Drosophila melanogaster: one gene and its partner. The protein of the gene in region 2 interacts with the protein of the main gene of each other region in a pairwise test. Each region holds a gene or a part of one and is shown on either strand. Other genes may lie near its edges.

Region 1 (3,756 bases), 1.1 Mb from region 2:
GAATAGTAAGCCCCGGTTGTCATTTATAACCAAATCTGTTAGATTTTAAGCCATACCTCCAAAATCGACTGGGTCCAGTTTCATTTATTTTTTTTGTTGGTTTCTGATTGTTTGCTAATTTCAAAAATATTTGATCTTTGTATGTAAATGATTTTAAATAATTTATGCTAATGAACCTAAAATTTTTGCTGTTCTAACTTGTTTTAAATATCAGCCACAATTGAGCTGAGGATATCGAGAACCAAATCGGGTTTGACTTATGGCGGGTGGTGCTTAAAGGTTAGAAAGTGAAAGGACTTGGAGAGATATTTGCAGGGGCAAACCGATTCCCTCGACTGTTCAGTGAGCTAATTGGCAGCTAATTAATCTGATTCACACCGCCTCGAGGGCAGAGCCCCAATGCCAAGACTTTTGGGGCAACTTTATTTTTCCGAAACTGTGAGAGATTTGGGTGAATTAAAGTCTGGGGAAAAGATCAGTCGGCCCTTTAACAAATGAAATCTTCTTTGGCAACAATGATGGTGATTAATGGACGTCTATTCAATGGCAACGTCAAGAATCTAACTTAAGGCAACGTTTTTATGGCTATTTACCTAAATACGCCAATCGCAAATTGCGACTAGCAAATGTCAGAAGCAAAAGCGAAAATTATGGAAAAAAAAACAAGTTTTAATTTCATCTTCAGCCATGTCAATGCTGACATAGAAACTGCCGCCACATGGCAGAATGCACATGCAGCTGGTCCATCCTAATGACTTAATACGCAAATTGCGGATCGCGCCAAGGCGATTTGCTCTGTGGGCGGCCAACACGGCGTATGCGTAACATTGCACTCGATGCCACTTGCTCAATTTCTACATGGCTTAAATGTCAACCGCCATCTGGTCAACTCTTAACTCGCGATGATAGCCCGGGTCCAGAGCTGGACCCTCGACAAAATGTGAAATGCAAATAGATGGCGATTGAATTGGAACTGCAGTCGGTGTTGGCAATTTATTTGCTATTTCTTCTTGTTTGCGATGCTTGGGTATGCACAGAGAAAAATCGGAATGATTTTGAATGAACTTAAAGGCCCTATCTTATCTTATAACCCTTTTTTATGATTGTATCCCTATAAAATTGTAGAACATGCTTTTTTAGTATCCTTTTATACAAGTTCGGATTAATAAATTTCTGAAGATCTAGCGCTAAATAGCTGACACATTATTTTAACACAAGAAATGTTTTAATTTAAAATTAAAGTTTGAATACAAATATCATTGAAAATTCGTATTCGTTCAATTATTTTCTGTACTGTCACAAGCCCAAACTATAAAACGTGGAAACTCCCTAAATATTTTGGACCAACAAAACTGATACTTTTTATCTTCATCTGCACTGCTTTTCCTTTGCGAAATGTCTGTCTTGTTTGTCTTCACACCGAGGGACACTTGTTTCGTTATTTTGCACTTTGCACACGATCATTGTTCGTTTTGGTTTAGATTGGATTGGAACTGGGTTCGGTTACCATGGTGTACACTTTCGGACTGCTACAAACGGCAGTTGCGGTAATCCCGGGTGCGTAGGTAATCCTAGGCGGTGTGCGTGAATAATCCTTGCGGACGGTACTGTGAGGATCGGAAAGGAGAAGACGCGACCGATCGTATCAAATTCAATGGACGATTGAATTTGATCGATGCCAAGCTAAGTTGGTTTAACTTCTAGGTCGAGTGTGGAATACCAACTAAAGCATCAAAACTTGTAGATTTTCTATATATACTCGGACCCAGCATCTGCCCACTTGGGCAGCGGCGTCGGCAGAGGCATCTTCACCTGGGCGACAGCTGTTAACACACGGCCAAAAGCCGAAATCGAAAGCGTTTTGGCCAGATGAAGATGAGCCGAATACGAAGTCTCTGCCGCTGCTGATGCCTCAGCCTTCGTCGACAGCGACGCCGACAGCTGAATGCTGACCAGAAAGCCAACCAGTCTCGGTTGTTTGATGTTTGTGAGTTAACAGCCAGATAACATGGCTAAGACAAAAAGGCAGCCAAATTAAGGCCCAGCAATTATGGCAGAAGAGCAACTAAGCCAGACGCACCATCCGGCCATCCGACCATCCATCCACCAACGCCTGCTCTTGTTGGCATTTCTATTTAGCCAACTCCGATGGCTGGCAAATATGCTCGTACTTTTGGCAGAAGTCTGCGGCGAGTGTTAAACACGTTGTCGTGCAGCATTTAATTTGGTAAATGGGTCCGAGCCACCGAATTTCATCAATCGATGAGACAAGCCGAAGCTGGCTCGACGATCGAGAGCCAAGTCAAGGCTCCCAACGAAGCTTGCCAAGGCAAATAAGGCCGAGAAGATCAGGCGTTGGCTAATGGCACTTACCCCTCGGATCAGGCCTAAATGCAGTTGGAGTTGCGAGTCGATGTTGGAGTTGGAGTCGGCCAATTGAACATGAACCGGTTGACTTGGCCAAAAATGCGTGTGCCCGGGGGTCAGCAGATGGCAGCCGGAGTTGAATGTTAAGGTAGGCTCAGCTCGGCTCAGCTCATCTCTGACTCCGTGTCAGCCGAGTGACCTTTAAACGCACACTCGAAGATCTCGATGATCGGTGATCGGTGATCGGTGTTCAGTGCTGCATTCTTCGAGCGACTCCCAAACGGGTTTCGGCATTTGTCATCGCCTGCATTTCGCCAGTTTAATAACTAGAATTTATTTATTCGCAAGCAGTCACGTCTTGATTTTAATGAACCAATCAGAGTGACACCCACTGGCCACGCGCAGTCATGAGCGGGCCCAAAATAGATGTGACTTTGAACTCTTTCGGCCCAAAGGTGCGTGGTCACTGGGTAGTCAGGGTCTAGATAAAACGGCGGAACAACACCCAGAGGAAGTGCAGCCGAACGGAAGTCACCCCTGCGGCCATCAGACGCCACTTAGAGCCACATTAATTCTTGTCTTTTATTACATAATTGCTGGCTAACTTATTCGGGTCATAACTTGCTTCGCACATCTTCACAAAGGCAATGACACTTGGCGGCGACTGCTGACATTTCAAATTTGTCATTGCGGATAACTGAAGCGACTGAATTGTTTTTATTATTTTTTTCTTTTTTAGTTTTTGGCTCATCGAATGCTTCTTGACTGCCGGCTAGAGGAAAAGCCTTTTTTTGTCACCTCATCCGACATTGCAACAGACGATTATTCAACTTCCATACCGAGTGTCTGATAATTTGCTGCCTCAAATTTTGGACTCCACTGAAGGACGTTAGCGGTTTTCGAATCAAACAAGACCGTCGCTTGAGCCTGTTCTAAACCGCATTCTAGACAGGTTGCTATTTGGATAATTTAAAAATATATTTGTTAATCTAGGGAAGTTTCAGAGCTCGTATGTGAATTGTTATGAGCCTTTGTCTTCGGGCGCGGAAATCATAATATCTAGTTTTTCATTATGTTTTATCAGAATGGAGATCTTGTCTTGGCGCTATTTCCGAACATTATTTTGTATAAATGGGATTTTTAGTCATCAAAAACAAAACGAGAAGCGAGATAAACAAATCTTAAATCATAAAACTAACTACACTCTTTTTCTGGTAAATACAAAAAAAAAAATCGTCACAAAGAACCATATTCTGCAGATGCAAATTTTTTGTAACACAATTAAATATTATATAAATCATGTTGAAACTGCTGAGTAGATTAATTGTATTCTTAAATGCCTCGACGCTTGTTTTTAAAGACGTGTACCCATTCAGGTAGACAATTAAT
Region 2 (3,756 bases):
GTTTTTATTTAAAATTCAGATATATTAATTTAATATTACACCCAGAAACTTACTTATTCATTTTTTTTTTTTCATTTTACTAACATTGATTTGCCAACAGAAAATGTTAAAATTTCTATTTCGTTCGCCCACTAGATGAGTAGTGGGTATCTTATAGTCGAAGAACTCGACTATAGCGTTCTTGTACTTCTAGTAATTTAGCTAATGTGCTGTTTATAGTGTAATAGCTTGATTTATTGACTTATAGATGTAGGTATCTAAGAAAATACTTATGTATTCTAATTCAAGATAACAAGATCCAATTAATATCCAAAAAGTGGACAAATACAGTTCTGTCTTCTTAAACATTAAATCTAAATGTTAAGCCGCCACCCAAATATATTAGTATTCAAACTTAAATACGGAAATACACAATTTACTTGATTTATTTGTTTAATAACAATATTTGTAGTGTAATCAAGCTGTCTATCTGTGAACTCAAAGGCTCTTTAAAGTTTAAACTGTTGACCCAATTGACGGATGGCTCCGCTATTTCCCTCTTTCATTCATTGACTTAGGTCAGTTGATCCGTAGTCATAGCTTTAATAGCGGCAAATTTATATTATTTATTCATTTTTCTGGGCCCTCTCAAAGTCAAGCCTCGCCTTTGGCCAAAATTGGCTGAGCCAAAAAATAACTTCGAGCCATGAAAACATCTGAATTATTTATGGGTATTGACATAAGCATAATTTAATCGCTACGCTTCGCGTTCTTCGCATAAATTCACCAGTCGCGTATAATACGAAACATAACAACATTATTTAGATTTAATTAATTGCTAATTTGAGGAAATTATCATTCATAGTTATGCATGATGAGCCAGAGCCCAGCTGGCGCTTCTCGAGTTACCAGCCCTGAGTGCTAAATGCTACAGGAGGGGGAGCTCCATAAACGGCGGCCGGAGAATGATGAGGTGGTGACCCAAAGTGGAGCTTGTACCTGCCATATGACGGGGCAGCAGCTGCAAACTGATAGCCAGTGGGTGGAGGAGCAAACCGGGCTATGAACTGTGGTGGTGGTGGAGCTGCTGCAGCATAATGAACGGCTGGTGGTGGTGGTGCTGCAAATCCGGTGTAGGTGGTGGTGGTAGTGGTCACTGGAGCTCCAAGGGAGTACTTAATAACTGGCTGTGGTGCCGCATAGGTTGTAGCATATTTAAAGATCGCCGGAGGTGGTGGACCATAGTGATCGACAGCTCCGTACGCAAATCCTTGATGGGCACTAAAGGCCGCTGGCACGGTGACGGTATCGGAAACGGGTACTGCTACTGGAGCAGGTACCGCCACTGGAGATGGAACCGGATATGGAGAAGGCACAGGAACTGGCACTGGGACTGGAACTCCCACGGGAACGCCCACCGTCGATGGTTCATGATGGAAACTTCCAAGCGCTGGAGCACCAAAACACATCAGAACACATATCAAAGGTATCTATATATAAAGATAAACTATTATTTTTCAGTTAAAAGTCACTTTCGATTCACTTGCTTTTGAAATATTTAACATTTTCACCCGTTATGCTTTCTTCCGTTTTCGATTTCCGTATTAAGTCACTTCTCCGCGACACTTTCACACGAAATGAATCGATTTTGGCTGACCATTGCAGGTTTATATATACCACGATCCGAGTTATGCTGATTTAGTGGGTGGAGGAGTAGGTGGAGGAGGAGTGGAGGAGGGGTCTGGAAACTAGAGGAGCCGAAAGGTAAAAACTCCATTAAGGGATCTGCGCACGACGTGCAATCGACAAGCGAATCGTGCGGCAAATGCATGCGACAAGTTTTGCAATGCCCCATCCGCAGGCGAAATTCGGTGGAAGTACGAACCACAAGTCGGTGGTCAAAACTTCAAATGAGGTAATTAAGGTGGAAGGTATAACTTCACACTTTACCGAAAAAAAAAAAATTGTTAACAGTTTAAGAACTCCGAATCAGTAAAGTAAAGATGTGAATGCTTTTGTGACTCCGTTTGAAGTCAAGAAGTCAACCTATCCAATCTTATTTTTTATTAGATTCCAATTCAGAATTGCTGTAGTCGGATAGATGGTGTTAAAATTAATAAGCATATGTATTATTTCAGACATCTTCTAAATAAATTCCTCAGATATAAGATATGCACCTTAACACACCCCTCTCTTCGGATCAACATCTTAAACTCTTCCACCTCAGAAGCCATTATCATGTGCACTTCATTCGCCCAAAGCCATGGATCACATTTACGAATGCACGCGCTACACTGCAGCAACTTTTACTGCCGCCGCCACCAGCTGCAAAAAAGTATAAAATATAAGACAAAAAAAAAAAAAGCAAGCAAGTGGCAAGAGCTGCAAGAAACCCATTGCGATCACGTTCCAGGCACCTTTTTATGCCTTATGACTCTGATTGATGGCCGTTGCCGAAATATAAATGCCAAAATATCACACGCCAGTTAAAAGTCGATTTATTACCGCCGCCAACAAAGCCATTTTCGTTGCTCTCAATTAGCCGTGGAAAAGCCCAAAAGTTGGCCGCGTCTTGTGCATCGCCTCCAAGTCGCCCAAAAGTGGGCAAACGTGTGCATGGAATTGCTACCATAAAATCTGGTCCAGAATCTGTCGTAAACAGGCGAAATTCCCGCACGGGTTGCCAATTAAATTTGGGTTGCCAAATGCGCGACACGCGCTCATCGAAATTGTCAACACAGGAGCAGGACGCTGAAAAAAAAGAATAACAGAGGAAAATCGAGGACGGGAAAGCCGGGGAAATTAGCATAACAAAGTGGCTAAATCAGAAATCGATATGTTCACCTTCGCTGAACCGAAAAAGGGGGCACAGATAGCGGGAATTTCCACGCACGTTTTTCTTTTTGTTTTCCTTTTGTGTTCCAAGTGGAGCACACGCCCAGCTTTTGAGCTGATTCTACTCCTCGAGTGGTTGCTTCGCGTTTTCCCCCATTTTCCATACAAATTTTCCACACATTTTCCGCCGCCGCTGGCAACAGGTGCTCTTGAAACGGAGCCGCATTGTAATGTAATGCGTGCTAAATCGCTGCACGTGTTTGGCAACAACAAGTGCGAATTTGTATCCCCCATCCACCACCAAAATAATACTTTGTTGCAAGCTATTGAAGTTTCAGCTGATTTGATTCACTCAATTGATTGCACACAACCTGTTAGCTGGAAGATATGCTACAAATATTATTCAAATGGTTTTTCGTTTCGAGGAAACCGTTGAATGTATACCAAATCATAAAATTATTTTCGCTCATCAATTTTGAATATGTACACGCTTTCCTTCAATCGCAATTTCATTTGAATTTCAATGTTGCCCCACCATATTATTTATACAATGCGATAAAGCTCCTTCTTGCTTATACGCAGTGAGGTCAGTCGTTGAACTCGGTGCAAGGACTTCCAAGGTCAGAGCTGCATTTAATTATCGGTTGCAAATCCATTTCACAAATAACAATCGAGTTACTGCTGGCGATGCTGGCGTGTGGGTGTGCGGATGATTTTGCTTGCAGCTGGTCAATGTCCTGGGCAAGGTCAGCGGAAAACGTGTGTAGTTCCCTTTTCCCCAGTACGTGCCTGTCCTGCGGCCAGGAATAAGTTTCCCGGAAAGGAGCTTGGCCCTTTGAAATTAATTATCCATGCTTGGAATCGTAACTTGCCAGCAGAGAGAGAGATTCTCGTTTCAATGCAGTTTTAATTGCACTGCCCGAGGGTTTGGACTTTTAGTCT

What was found. The genes of interacting proteins can lie anywhere in the genome.
Region 1: the proteins of CG13045 (region 2) and CG13731 interact in a two-hybrid assay, tested with the Drosophila melanogaster proteins (one large-scale study listed by BioGRID).

Annotation. Positions count from the first base shown.
Region 1 is NT_037436.4:17,387,238-17,390,993, forward strand, and holds the start of CG13731 (uncharacterized protein), read right to left. Parts: upstream 1,720-3,756; 5' UTR 1,511-1,719; coding exon 1,508-1,510; intron 1-1,507.
Region 2 is NT_037436.4:16,289,350-16,293,105, forward strand, and holds CG13045 (uncharacterized protein), read right to left. Parts: upstream 1,602-3,756; 5' UTR 1,527-1,601; intron 1,470-1,526; 5' UTR 1,449-1,469; coding exon 885-1,448; 3' UTR 363-884; downstream 1-362.